Danio rerio: one gene and its partners. The protein of the gene in region 2 interacts with the protein of the main gene of each other region in a pairwise test. Links are inferred from orthologs where the notes say so. Each region holds a gene or a part of one and is shown on either strand. Other genes may lie near its edges.

The links. The genes of interacting proteins can lie anywhere in the genome.
Region 1: the proteins of rab2a (region 2) and fam114a1 interact in binary tests that used the Homo sapiens proteins (3 or more experiments, as listed by UniProt). The two-hybrid records come from large-scale screens. The link is inferred for Danio rerio from reciprocal best matches to the Homo sapiens genes RAB2A and FAM114A1.
Region 3: the proteins of rab2a (region 2) and tbc1d25 interact in binary tests that used the Homo sapiens proteins (3 or more experiments, as listed by UniProt). The link is inferred for Danio rerio from reciprocal best matches to the Homo sapiens genes RAB2A and TBC1D25.

Annotation. Positions count from the first base shown.
Region 1 is NC_133176.1:20,108,674-20,113,856, forward strand, and holds the start of fam114a1 (protein NOXP20), read right to left. Parts: upstream 3,039-5,183; 5' UTR 3,007-3,038; intron 1-3,006. UniProt on the Homo sapiens protein: May play a role in neuronal cell development.
Region 2 is NC_133177.1:25,073,925-25,079,082, forward strand, and holds the start of rab2a (ras-related protein Rab-2A), read right to left. Parts: upstream 3,478-5,158; 5' UTR 3,248-3,477; coding exon 3,202-3,247; exon of another isoform or gene 3,167-3,201; intron 2,387-3,166; exon of another isoform or gene 2,247-2,386; intron 1,031-2,246; exon of another isoform or gene 1-1,030.
Region 3 is NC_133183.1:25,551,229-25,556,311, reverse strand, and holds the start of tbc1d25 (TBC1 domain family member 25), read right to left. Parts: upstream 3,039-5,083; 5' UTR 2,757-3,038; coding exon 2,712-2,756; intron 1-2,711. UniProt on the Homo sapiens protein: Acts as a GTPase-activating protein specific for RAB33B. Involved in the regulation of autophagosome maturation, the process in which autophagosomes fuse with endosomes and lysosomes.

The DNA of each region.
Region 1 (5,183 bases), on a different chromosome or scaffold from region 2:
GCAGCAAATAAAACCCTCAGTTCAATGAATTAGATTTTCTGCTCTTGCTTAAACTGTGGAAAGTGTGAATTAAGACTTGCAGAAACCATTATAATGACAGATTATAAGAAAAAAACACACAAGCACAATAAAAAGAAAAATTATTATGTACTTGTTAAAGAATCGTATAAATGATGCTCAGGGGCCTATTTCTCAAACATGCAGATATCTGTATAAATTAGCTTGTAGTGCATACAGAATACACTGGGTGTTAATGCATTCAAAGGGATAGTTGACCCAAAAATTTTAATTCTATCATTGTTTCACCCTTCACTTGTTGAAAACATGACTAATTTTCCAAAAGATAAATATTTTCTTGAATATGTTCACAGAATAAAAAAACTTATAAAGGTTTAAAATTACTTGAGAGAGGGTATAATAAGGTAAATTAAATTATGGGTTGCTAACATCATGTCTATAATCATTTCAAGCTTATGCTAAAAGTATTAAAAGCCATTTCTAGGATGTTTCTGTATAACCGATGTTCAGAATAATTGTTTTAAACCTTTTGTTCACATCATCAGTGTATCTAATTGGATCGTAATTGATTCTTGGGGAATTTGTTTTGTTGTTGTTTGCTTCCAAATTATGCCAGGAATTCCATTAGAATTCCTTTGGGATTATGAGATGGAATTCTTATTTCAAAAAGAAAGATCGTATTGTGTGGCCTCCATGAACTTTATGACCACCATGCATATGAATACATGATTGTAACGACTGTACCATCATCAGTTGCATCACTATACTGTCATTTACAAATCCTCTCCCGGGACCTCATAGGATAGTGAGGTGTCTATTAGAAATACACTTCAGAATGTCTGCAGATCACCCTGGTCATTCCTCTTATGAAGTATGGTATGAATTCTAACACTCATCACATACTGCTTTCGCCAGCAAATGCAGCCAGTGTTAATATGAACACACACATACAGTACAGTACATAATCATGTACACTTATAATTTGTTTGTTTTATGTTTAGGGTTTTATGGTTGTGAAATGTGACCCTGAACTACAAGATCAGTTTTGCATAAATATATTTTTGGCAGGAATTAAAAATACATTTTATGGGCTAGGGCTACACCATATTAGAAACATCTGACATTGCAATATTTTGTTTTTCTGCAAAATATATTGCAATATACTGTATCTGTCTATAGCATTCCAGCAAACGATTAAATAGCACTTTTGTTCACACTTTATTTTAAGGTTCAATGAGTGCAGACTTTTGCTATAATAAACTCCCAATTTGATCCTTATAAATAGTTATTAAAGTAGTTTAGTTATTGTGTAGGATTGGGGATGTAGAATAAGATCATACAGAATATGTAGTTTAAAAGTACTAATAAGCAGCCAATATCTCAATAACATGCATGCAAGCAACTAATTAATAGTAAGAATTGGTCCAAAGTTTTAGCAGAAGTATTCATTTTGATTGATCGGGATAATTCTGTAGGGCAGTGAAACATGTATTAAATTTAATGAATAAACAGAGGTAAAAATGGTTTTATATTCGCACATTCGTTCATTTAGCAGTCTCTATATTGTTTACTATGTTACGTTGAATATTCGATCGGAATTACCATGCAAGTATGACTTCTAAACAACATTAACACTATCTAATTCATTGTAAACAATGTTGTGCTTTGATAGTCATTTGCTGCTAATATGATTTCCCTATTAAGAATTTGCAAAGAATACTTTTCTGAAATTATATTATTAAGGAGTATGTCTGAATATCTGAATATAAAACCAACTTTACCTCTATTGAACAAATTACAAGCAAGGATAAATGCAACAAAGCAAAGATACAAGTGAAATAAACAATGCATGCTTTATGGTTTTGTACATGTAAATGAAAAAATTAAACTACAAAGTCAACTCAACATTGCATGTCTATGCAATGTGACTACTGCAGATGCACACATTGCGATATCGAGACTAAAACAATGTCATACAGCCCTAGTATGGGTCAAAATGATCGATTTTTCTTTTATGCAAAAAATCATCTGAATAGTAAGTAAAGATCATGCTTCATTAAGATAATTAGTAAACTTCCAACTGTGAATACATCAAAACTCAATTTTTGAAAGAGCCATGTGCATTGTCATTAATTTAGAAAACTTTAAAGGCAATTTTTGTTGTAAATCTGCTAAATATTATCCCATCCCAATGTAAACTTCAATTAAAAAAACACTACAATAAAACACTGATGACTGGTTTTGTTGTCTAGGGTCACAATTTAGGATTTGGTTTTACAAACTATCATTGCACGTACGACTTATTATTAATGTACAGTGTATTACACATGGAATTATGACTAATGAATTGAATGCAATGTACAGTATGTGTACTTGTGTGGGTGTGTGTGGAAAGAAAAGCATTCACACATAGGCCTACAGCTGGAGCCGCGCTGTCCCTGAATGGTGCCACACTGTCAAGCGCCTTTGTTTAAAGCGGATTGCGGCGCCATCTAGTGGTTATTTTCCACACGTAGAAACCTCATTCAAACTTTAGTTTGTAAACAATGGTTCAGTAAAGTAAAATACACCATGTATAAATTTAAGCAGATTACAAACAACAGGTTATAAATCTTACCGTTTCTATGCAGTAACATAAATGCAGTGTAATGACGTCTCAAGTTCTGTATTTCCATAAAAAAACCAAACGCCCATGTTTATACAAATCGTTAATTCGTTAATATAGATATATCTCTCGTTTTAGTGCACACTATTTATTTAAACATTGTAAACATAAATAAACATACGTTTCAAGCACTTTACAAGCGACGGTTAAGGCGAATTTGACTCAAATAATACAATTATATCCAAATACATGGCAACAACCGCGACAAAATCTCCGTAAAGACAGTCTTAATGCTAAAGTGCAAAACAAACGCATGCAAAACCAACATATATATATTATTTGTTGTGTAAATGAAGTAAATTGATGGGGTCATCCCTTCTTACCAGTTGTGCTGACAGACAGTCGCGCTCCCGCTACCCTTTCCGCTCGAGCTCGCGCCACGTCGGCAGCGGGGTCGCGTGCGGCGGTGGCGGGTGACGTCAGCTGAACTTTTGGCACTCAGGAGACAAGAAGATAAATACTGAACAAAATACAGTCGCATTTCGTGTATGTACTACAGTAAAGTGCTACACACAGCTGCACGTGGGGCTAAAACCCTTCTTTGAGAGAGACAGTGAGGTATTTATATGGTTGAAGTCGGCTTTTAAGGTGGCGTTGAAGTTTAGAGTTGGTTTTCAAAGAGGGAAATCTGATAACGTGAAGGATGAGATAACTGTCACATTTTAAAAGCAAGTTTTCACATGCCTGTCAAACTACTTATATTTCATTGTTAATCGTTTGATACTGAGTAAATATTTGATATGGGTCCGTCGGTGGTCTGCCTTAACTTTCGTCATGTCTTTTACCCGATCATCTTACACGGTCGGCTCGTTGGTCTAGGGGTATGATTCTCGCTTAGGGTGCGAGAGGTCCCGGGTTCAAATCCCGGACGAGCCCTTCTTTTCTCTACTAAAAAGTAGTACGGCTGTTTCAATATTAAGAAAACAGTAAAAATGCAAAAAAATTAAGGTAACTCAAACAATTTGAGAAAACTAATTGCAACAAACCATTTAAGTTCAAATGCTAATCCTAATGAGTACTGTGAACTTAATCCATCTGAGTACACAAAGCAATTTGAACACTGTAAAACCCAAGTTTAAGGCAACTCAAACAGTTTGAGGAAACTGATTGCAACAAACCATCTGAGTTGAAAAACTAATATATACAAGTACTGTGAACTGACTCCATTTAAGTTGAAATAATGAGGTATTTAATTAATTCATTACCTTCAACACTGAATTCAAAACTCTTTTTAAATGAGTAGAATTAACTTTCAGTAACGTTTGAGTTAACTACACTCATTTCATTTGATAAAAAGTTGATTACACTCATTTCATTTAATAAGTTAACTGTTGGGTTTTACAGTGTAGAAAAAAATAATAGAAATGAGGATCAAAGAAAAAAAAATACAATTTAGAGATGTTTTAAGTTCAAATTCAGAAGAGACATGAGATACTATGAACTCACAGTTCAGAGTAAAAAAGTCTGAATTTTGAGTCATTTTGCATTTATTGCTATATCAGACTATTTCTTATAATTGCAGGTTCATAGGGTTTCTCACAATTTTTGCAATTTAGACCTATTTTCTCAGAATTTTTAAATTTGTCTTTATCACAATGGATCCTTTTCACACGTTTACGGTTATCATAATCTTAAATTGTTGAAAGTTTTTAACATTTTGATTAAAAAAAACACATTTATACCACATTTATAACACATTATATCAACTCTGCAAAAATTGCATCAAATCTCTTCTGGTTGCCATTATCAGTCTCATACTATTTTTACATTTATTTTCCTAAAGTCTTGATAACACCATCGTGAAGTTTTTCTTTTATTTTTTAAGCAAATGGAACTGTAAAAAAAATATTTTCTGTACTCTCCCATTCATGCGCTCAAAGTTTACCCAACTATGATGACCTCCACTACTGAGAAACCCAGAAATGTAAAAAGGAACCAGAGGTTAAATATCTGATTTGTTTCTCCATTTCTTTTTTTCAAAATTTAATTTCTTATTTTTTCTTCTTCTTATTATTATTATTATTATTATTATTTGTTTATTTATTTATTTATTTTTTACAATTTTATATTTCAAATTTAATTTTTCCCTCAGAACTCCAGTTATCAGAATTGGCAATACCCCCAATTACAGAAAAGTCGAAATTCTGGATTTATATCTAACAGTTCTGCCCCCCCCCTCAAAATTGTTATTAACATTTCAGAATTCTCTTTTTCAAGCTGCTACTTTATTATTATTTCTGTTTATTTTATATATTGTTTGCAATGGCTAGGATTCAATTCTGCAAATTCAGATTTTTTTTTAACTCAGAACAGTGATTTTCAGAATGTAATTTAACAATTCAAAAATTATCTGAATATTTTACAGTTTTGACTTTTCTTTGACTCCATACCTTTACAATTTACACTGCAAGCATTGCAGATTTATTTCTCACAATTGTGCATATTTTCCTGCAATTAAGAGTTTATATTTTGTCATTCTGCCATTGTCAAAACAAGCAAT
Region 2 (5,158 bases):
CAACCAAAAACTAAATTTGTCATTAACGATCCAAGTTGTTCCAAACATTTCAAAATTTCACCTGCTGAATATGCGAGACGATCTTTTGTTTCTCCATAAGGCAAGTCACCGGTTACTAAACTGTTTGGTTATCAAAATTTCAAATATATTTGTTTTCATGCTGCAGGTGAAAGCAAGGTAGGATTATAATGATTTCTTTTTTTGGATAAACTGGATCCTGTAAACTACACACACACACACACACACACACACACACACACACACACACACACACACACACACACACACACACACACACACACACACACACACACACACACACACACACACACGTTGTGTACATAATGTGACAGATCAAAATTAAAGACATGTAAATTAAATAGACTACGTTGTTCAGTCATAACCACATCTCCACATAAATGGAAAGACATTTCTCAGTCAGTGGATAAAATGTACATGTTACCCTGCCAATGAAAACAAGGTTAAAATTAAAGCAAAATGGATCAACACAAGGAGATGGTAAGATTATCATTTAAAAACACGAGAAAAGGAGTACCACATCATTTGTTGCAATGGGTTTCAGAACAACAAAATCCTTAACATCTGGTCATCATTTAAAAAAAAAAGCATAAAATTACTTTAGGACAGTTCATAGCGGAGGCAAAAAACACTTGGGAAAAACCGAGGTACCACTTTATAGAGCGCTTTTTACTTGTATCAAATTTGATCATCAGGTACAATGTACTTACTGCTGTCATATTGTATTGCTAAACACCTTTGCTGCTATACAGGTGGGATGTGGTTAAGTTGAGGACAGGTTTAGTGCTTAATGTTTTAAGGTTAAAGGGTAGTTTAAGTTAAAGAGTCAGTAGGACAAATAAAGACACATGTTGACAGATGTAATAACATCAAGATAACGGTACTTAATCCACCAAAAATATTACACCGTATGTTCAATTTAAATGCTAGTAGACGCATATTTAAAAAACTCATTTTAAATAGGCTCCATGCAAAATATAGCCTTTAAAGGGTCACGAAACACCAAAACACATTTTTTGAGCTTTTGACAGTCGTATATGTGTCCCACACTGCTAAAAACACTATTAGGACACCTATATTTCACTAAAAAGTGTAAATTGGTTGTTTTTGCGTTATTTCAAGCAAATTCGTACTTCCTGTTTGAAACGAATTTTTGAAGCTGCGTCACGGTCATGACATAATAGCGTGTATTCCAGCATGCAGACTGGGCGTCTGTGCCTGAGTGAGTCTTATTACGTCTTACAGTGTGATGCATTAATGCATTAGTAAGGCTTGGTTCAAACCAATCAGCGAGCTCTATTGTGCAACTTCATTAATATTCATTTGTGTCACCGTGTTTACACCACAAAGACGCCACGTTGTGTTGACAAAACAAGCGTGAAGTGTTGCTTTTATAGTTTGCTGCCGTTAAGTTTCGTTTTCATTTTCTCTCTGTGAGAGCTCAGCTGGATCACGTGTGGATTAACAGTGTACGCGACGCTCGACAACAATAACTTACGTGTCTAAGGGGGATTATTGTTTACCTGAGAGCTGTTCTCATCTGCAAACGCTGAAATCTGGATTTGCTTGTAGTATTCTCTCCATAAAGACGCGGCTCTAGTTGCTGGTGATTGTCCTGTCTCTACAGATTTGGTAAGTGAGCGACCAGTGCTCTTTGTTTATTCAGTTTGTTCATATCGAATTAAGTTAACTATAGCACTGAGTGCAGAAATGTTAGCACCGCATTTAGTGACCGAAATAACACACGCGGCTTTCTGACGCTGCCTGCCGTGTGCATCTAAGTTTCCGGGAAATGCGGAGTTTTTTTTCCCTCTCATTCGCCGTGCGGTATCAAACATTGCATGAAAAATACACGCTTAGAGCAGATCCTCGAATCAAATATCTCGTTTGTCGCGAGAGGCATGAATGAATTCCCTGAATGAAAGAGCCAAACTGCAGTTAAAGTCCAACATTTAATAATTTGGCAAATAATTCGACTACAGATGTCCATGTAGGTTAAACACCATCGCTTTCTCCTGTCTGTGTGGGTGTGTATTTTGACTCTGAAACTCGCGCGTGCACAAATAGACACTCCCACACCATCCCACTTTAGTTCCTCCGACACTCCCCCCTAAACAGAGCTGGACACGCCCACTTTTCTGACTTTTTCGAAAGTGGAGGTGTGAAAACACCCTGCTGAAACGAGGGGGTTTCATGGCCCTTTAAAGGGACTACTAATAAAAATGAGCCAGTTTGGATAAAACTGACCCATTTTTACCATGTTATTTTGTTTTGTGTATTATTAATGTGCATTACACTTGATTAAATGAACAAAAATTAATAACTTGGAACCAACTAATACCAAAAATCATGTGGACATCTTATTAACGCAGTATTTATGCTATAATCCAAAAAATGTTTATGGGAATAATCAGAATCATCTGTGTAATGAGAAAAAAAAAAACTATACTAAGGCAGAAATGCATTGACTGTTGTTGTCGTATGTCTTGAGGAAAGGCCTTCAGTGACAGAAATCTGATGAGAACACTAGCAGGCCACAAATATGCACAGACATTATATGGCCCTGACTAATAAACGTGTCACTTTTATTAATGATACAAACTCGTTTCTTTTATAGCAGTCATTACTTATTAAACGTTCTGAAGAAGAAAAATGCAGCGGAATCAACGCCATTTTCAGAAAGAGTAAATAGCTGCTAGCGATGTTGGCTATAGCTAGCCAGGCTGCTTTTGGCCTTTAGATTAGCTGGACTCAAGAAAGATGTAAGTGAAGGAAGCAAACTCTCCGTCAGACGCACTGACAGGTACACAGCATGTTGCTTTTTCGCTCAACGTGTCATGCTAACAGAAAGCAGAGATTCTGCAGTCGTTATCGAGGCGGACAGCTGATATGAAGCAGCGTTTAGCCTGTCTGCTAACTCCCCCACCCAGCGGAAAACAAAAGACCGTGACAGCCTTTTAACTGCACGCCGCTGTCGTGACATAAAGCACACGCTTGGAAGTTGACATAAAGTGTGCGATAAAACGTAGCCCAGGAGCTAATGAGGCAGATGGAGAGACAAAAACAGGCTGTCAGATGTTTCTCCCACCCCTCGCGCCTCTGCTTGAACCACGTCATTAAGTCCAACACTGCGGAAATAAGCGAGTCTCGGCCGCTGCTTACCCGTGTCTCCGATGATGATGTACTTGAAGAGATACGCGTACGCCATGGCCAACCGCTCCCGGATCAACCTGTTTTGGCCTTACTAAAATGGCTCCGTGAAGCTAAAACCGCTGGGAAAGCGTGTGTGCGAGATATGCCTCCGCTAAGCCAGCCCTTTTCTCTCTTCGACGGGAAGGAACAATAAACACCTCGAGCTCCAGCCGGCCTACGTCACACGTCCCGCCTTCGCCACGCACGCAGAACAGAAGAGGATCTGCTGGACCTCACCGGAAGTTGGCTCACCTCACCGCGATGTGTCAGGTCAATGTTCGCCCTCAGGGCAGAGAGACAGTTTGGGTTTTTAGTTGTGATGTTTAAGGAGGCTTATTTTTCTCTAAACACATCAAAAGGATTTATTAGCATTTTAAAAGTTTCAAGCCTTGTACTGATATCTTAAAAGCCATATTGGGTGAACTGATTAAGTGCCTATCCGTTAACTGAGGTTGCAATTCACACAGGCTTATCAAAATTGTACAGAAGATTGGAAAAATGTTGTCTGGTCTGATGAGTCTTGATTTCTGATGCAACAGGCTCAGAATTTGGCTTCAACAACATAAGAGCATGGCAAATCTGCAGCAACTGCATGATGTTATCATGTCAATATGGACCAAAATCTCTGAGGAATATTTTCAGTGCCTTGTTGAATATATGCCACAAAATATTAGGGCAGTTCTGATGGCAAAGGGGGTCAAACCTGGTACTAGTAAGGTGTACTTAATAAAGTGGCCAGTAAGTGTATATTGCATATTGCATACATTCAAAATGTAAAGACGCGCAATAGGATTCCTTTAAAGATTAAGCTCACTCCAAAATCAAAATACTGTCATATTTGCTCATCCTCTCTCTCAAACCTGCAAGAAATCCATTAATTTAAAAAACTTTTCCTTAAAACAAGCAAAATAATCAGCCAATGGTGTAATCAAAATAATAGTGTTTTCATTTTTTTACATTTTTTTTGCTTACCCCACTGCCAGATTAATTTATGAAAAACTCACTTAATTTTTAGAAATTATTTCTGAAAACAAGGCGATACTTTTTTTTTACTTGTCTAGGAAATAATTTTTTATTTTATTTTTTAGATATTGGAACTAACAAGAAAAGCATTTATTAATATGCGGGTTCAAAAATATTTAAACATTAAGAAAATCAACTAAAAAGTTCTCTAAATGTAGTGTTTAATGCACATTAAGCAAGAAAAAAGGATTTGATATATTTAAATTATGAAATTTACACTTGTCAGTCATTATGAACAAATTCAGAATTAGTTTTGATTTGAAAAAAAAAACCCAAACCAAATCAGTCAGGCCTGGTTGGTACCATGACGCTGATTATCAATCTTTTCTGTGTGTATTCCAAACGGTTGTAGCACCCTCCAAAGGGCACTTCAGAAAGAAAACAATCATGGCTGCCATAGTTTCTATCCAAATTGAAGTGCTCAAAACTGGCTACTTCAAAGGACCCTTTGAAGGATTTTGAGGGATAAAACTGATGGATGCTTTGAGCAGGGAAGTTATTTGGTGTCCCACACTGCATTCATTTCAGAAGGGCTCATACCTATGCTCTAATCCAGGGAGTCAAACTCAGTTACTGGAAGACTGGAGCCCTACAGAGTTAAATTCCAACCCTGCTACAACACACTTAAGCCGCAGTCAAACTGGGTTTTGAGCATGTCCAATTCTGTTGTACAGCGGGGTAAAACATGTCAATGGAGCAAAAAGTGCTTTTTTGTTGCAGTTTTGGAACCCATTAGAAGTGAATTCAAGCTTTGATTCTGTGTTCAGGAAAAGCCTGCACATGAATGTTACATCATTATTAAAGAGCCAATCAAATGCCTTGAAACTATGATTGACATCTCCTGAGAGATTGAGGACAATTAAGCTATTTAAACACATTCATGAAGTAAAAGGAAAAGGTGACA
Region 3 (5,083 bases), on a different chromosome or scaffold from region 2:
GATAAATACAGTAAAGCAACGATATGCTACAAATAAAATGCTCAGTGTAATTTTCAGCAACATTTAGTTTATCAAATGTAATAACAAAATGTAAAATAACATTGTAGTTTCCATTGCATATTTACATAAATACAATTCATCTTTCTTAAAGTTGAAAGCATAATTTTCTATGCCAGTATATTTTAAACTGACTTAAAAAAATGCCCACACAGTCACTGGCCTTTAAAACACACATAAATAATAAATGTTTTGGTACTGTTATGGTTAAACATTGCAATGACAAATCACTAGTGCTTTCAAATGTAGCAATGTGTCCTTTATGATACCAGTTTGACATTGCACATCCTGTGATGTGACTATCGCGGGTACGCATAGTGCAGTACCGATACTGAAACGATATATTGTTCAGTCCTTATAACAACACAGACTAAACATGGGTCACCGTCAGAAACATCTTAATGACTACTGAGAAAGCCACATTCACTAATGAAAACTGAATTGGACCTTCATATATTAAATTGTCAGTAAAAACAAAATCTTTTTTATTACAAAATGCCAAATACACAAGTTGAGCTTTTTCTCCCCAAAGGTCCCATTCATTCTCCTTCTCATATCAGTTGGAATGGTGGGCCAAATCAAAGGTTACCATGGGCCAACTTTGGCCCGCAAGGCCCAGTTTGGACATCTCTGTACTAAACAGACTAGCATTTTAGGCCAAAATAAAGAATTTAAATGAGTATTTATTTACAGAATGTAAACAAAATATTACAGATGTAATTTTTGAAAACTTGTTTTAAAATAATGGTCATCTCTAGACTTTAAAATTAAAGACAATTAAGCTTTTGTTCTACCTCTCAAAAACAGTGACTCAAGAAAAGGTGTCGTACAGGAGCTCTTTAATTAATCAAAATTTCACTGTGATTAAACTGAAAATTCACTGACCTAAATTCTGCACGTGAAAGAGCCATCTTAAAGAAACAGATGGATCACCATCAGTGAAATAGAAGGGGATTATATACTCAATTTTGTACACAGTTCTTCTATATGTGCCCGACACAGTTTAATGCAATGCAAGAATTTTTACAGAGCACACCACACTAATGCCAGATTAGCCAAAATACACCAAATAGAATTAATACTTGTAATAAGGGTCAACAATCTACAGCAAATCACACACACATGTTTTGATCATGTCCAAGATTAACAATGTTTTGGTCTAAAATATTTGACACTTTTGAAAAAAAACTTTAACATATCAGTCACTCCAAACCCTCTAACAGCAGTATTCGGAACTCCTTTTTTGGGACAAATTTGTCTTTAACAACACAGAACGTTGTTGCTTTCTCCTCATTATTGGCTAGGAGGCCTATTCTCCTGAAGTGGAAACAAACATCTCCACCTTTATATGACAGATGGATAAAAGACAGTTTTTAGTGTTTAAAGTTGGGAAAAAAATGGTTTTCATTAAAAGGGTCTTTAAAATCTTTTTACAAAACATAGAAACCTTTGTTGAATTATATTGACACTACTGATCTTGAAGCAGAAGAGGAATAAAGCTTTTTTTTATAAAGTGGCTCTGTATTTTATTTTAGTGGTTCTCAAAGCCCTGCATCTGAAACAACAGCCATACAGCTTTCAAAAGCATAAACAACACTTTTTGTATACGTTAAATCTGACTGAACACCCGAGAAATGACTGAAATACTGAAGCAAGAGGATTCAGGTTGATCATGTGACACTCCAGAGCAAATATGACTCACGGTCAAGCAAGTCAGCGGTATATACAGTGCTCAGCATAATTGAGTTCTCCCCATTTTGAAAATTAATATTATCATTTCTCAGTGAAATTAGGCAATGTATTTTGGTGCATTAAAAAAAAACAGATTTAAAGAACATATATATTTATTAAAATACTATTTAGACACTAAACATGAAAGATAATACAATTAAATTCATGCAAAATATTGACAAAATGTCAACTCAATTTTTCAAATATTTGTTTCTCTTGATTTTTCTTCTTTTACAAAATTGTATTTAATATTTTTCTATACCATTTAAATTTCAGTGTACTAGTTTTTGGACAGTCATCGTAAATTATTTTGTTAGATAAGCTCCTGATTGGCTTCAGCACTGACTAATGTAATGTACAAGCACAAATACTGTATAGCTTCCTATTAAAAATATAATTTTAAAAGATATGTCAGAGGTGTACTTATACATGCTGACCACTGTATTTGTGCGACAAGTTTTTTTACGCAAATAAGCATCTAATTATAGACCGTTTATAAACGGTTACATTTGGACACAAAAACAACAACGATGAAAAAACTGAACCGTTACTTCGAAATGAAAATATATTTCACGAAAATATCGCATGATAATTCAAATAATATAGTAATTATAATTGTTCTGATCGTACTGTACTGTAAAACATATTTTTATGATGCGGTCACGATTCGTAAACAACAAAGATGCCAACGAAGAAAAAGCGACGGACGTGAAGACTAGGGCTGATGAACAAACAACAATTCCCCACGACAGACGAACGATAACGTTAGACGTGAAACCAGACACTCGTGGCCTGACAGGACCGCTGTGTGTTACTGTGTTTTCATCCTGCCCGCCGTGTTGATGTGTGTGTGTGTGTGTGTGTGTGTGTGTGTGTGTGTGGTTGGGGTTTCTACCTGCCGCTCGCTCCCCAAAATTCCTCACCTTGACTTTGACACGAACTACCCCCCTCTCCTCCTCAACAGACATGGTGGGTAGTCCGCTCTAATGGTCTCGTTCAAAGATGGGATGTTGTCATCCAGAAGAAAAAAATGAAAGTAAAATAACAATGGATGCGGGTACCCGTTCTCCCCTCTCTTACTGCTTTGGCAGGTTCAATGAAAACTCCTCTAACAAGACACTCAAAAACAACCGACATCCTGCTGACACGTTTCAAAATAAAAGCCTCGCTGCAAGCAAAGCTAGAGGTGTTTCTTGTATAATACATATCTATTTTAATGATAATTCAGGTATCTGATAATCAGTGTTTCGTCTATGTAGATCCATAAATACAGACACTAACGACTATATCCATACCGAAGGCTTTCACGTTTTGAAACAACAGGATATGACGACACATTTGCATTACATCATTGGATTCATGAAGGAATGAACGATCTATGTGAGGAAAAAAACAAAAATCTTATGAAAATTAGAATTAACGACTGAACAAATGTCTGTTGGTGATTTAAAGCGATTTCATTCCAAATAATGCGTTATTTAAATTATGATGAATGTATTTGGGCAAATTAATATAACGTTAATAAGTCTAAGACTAAGTTATTACATTTGTATATATTAAAATGAATACGTTTAATGTATAGTATACGTTATATTGTATTGTAAAATGTATCAGCCACAGCAATATGAAAACGAATGCTTTGCTCTGTATATTTGCCGTGACCCGGATTCGAACCGGGGTTGCTGCGGCCACAACGCAGAGTACTAACCACTATACGATCACGGCGCGCTACTGAGCAGCTGCGCGTCTCAGGCAGATTCAGACCTTATAATTGTACAAAAAGGAGACGTGCGCGTATTTTCAAACATTTCTGGCTCATTTTTTTTCTTCAAATGTTTCTTACGCTCTCGGGCTGCCTTTGTTTGGCCCAAAAGTATAGTAAACACTTTTAATATCGTGAAGCATTATGTCCATATATATTTTTAGTAAACACTTTTAATATCGTGAAGCACTATGTCCATATATATATTTTTCTAAAGTTTTGATGAAAATGTTGGCAATTTGAAAAAATAACAACTTATTTTAAACGAAAGATATTTCATACCACCACAAACTTCTTTCCCGCACTTTAGATACATTTTTGATTTCGATATTTCTGTGAGGATATATGTCCCTCAAATTTATATTCTCTGTTATTTAAACATACTGTATTTAAAACTTCCACCATATTTAATTAACCTTTGATTTTAAAGCTTTTTTAATTTTGTGAAGTCTTTTTCTATTGAGACCTAAGAATAAAAACTGACTCATAATCTTACTTTTCATTCATTCATTCATTTTCTTGTCGGCTTAGTCCCTTTATTAATCCGGGGTCGGCACAGCGGAATGGACCACCAACTTATCCAGCAAGTTTTTACAGAGCGGATGCCCTTCCAGCCGCAACCCACCTCTGGGAAAAAATCTTACTTTTTACCAAACCATTAGTTTATTTATCTTTTTAAAACAAAAAACGATGCTTTGAAAAATGTTGGAAACTTGTAGCCATTGACAGCCATCGAAAAAAACATGATAAACATTGAAAGTCAGAGACTAGTAATTTTCAAGATTGATCAATGTATGTTTTATTAAAGAGCAAAAATCAGTACAAGGCCCTCGAAAAATGTGAAAAAAAAATATTAAAAAGCTTTTATTCACATGGCTAATCCTTGAAAAAACCTATGTGTGAAATTCAAAGTTTGGAACAAGTGGAGGATGCGTAAATAATGCCAGATTTTTTATTTGTGGGTGAACTATCCCTTTAAGCATAAAAAACACTGATAGTAATAAATGTTTCTTGAGCACCAATTCATATTAGGTTCAGTTTTTTCAAGATTGCAGTGCTGTATTTTACTCTACAGATCACATCAGATTTACCAGTAGATAGATATTAATATGGTTGCCTCTAGGATCTTTCCTTAGCCCTATAATATTTCCATCTATGCCCTTTGTCATTATATTAGTTTTAGTTTTCATTATGCCAATAATTAGCTGTACATTTAATTGAGACCAGAGGAAATTCTTAAAATATAATAAAAATAAATCAAGAATGCAGCATATAATGTTTCTAGCAATTAAAATTGTATTAAATTGGGATATAAGAGACCAAAAACTGTACACAGAAGCCATGGCAATAAATCTGGCATGTTTAGTGAAGGAGAATCAACACTATTAATACAAAGCCTTTTATTTGATTTTATAAATTGTAGAGCACGTACATACAAAAAGATGACATCTTTCTTGTTCCTGGAAAACCGAATTTAGCAGCATAGCTATTCACAGACTTAAATGTAAGCAAACAATGCTCTGATTGTACAGA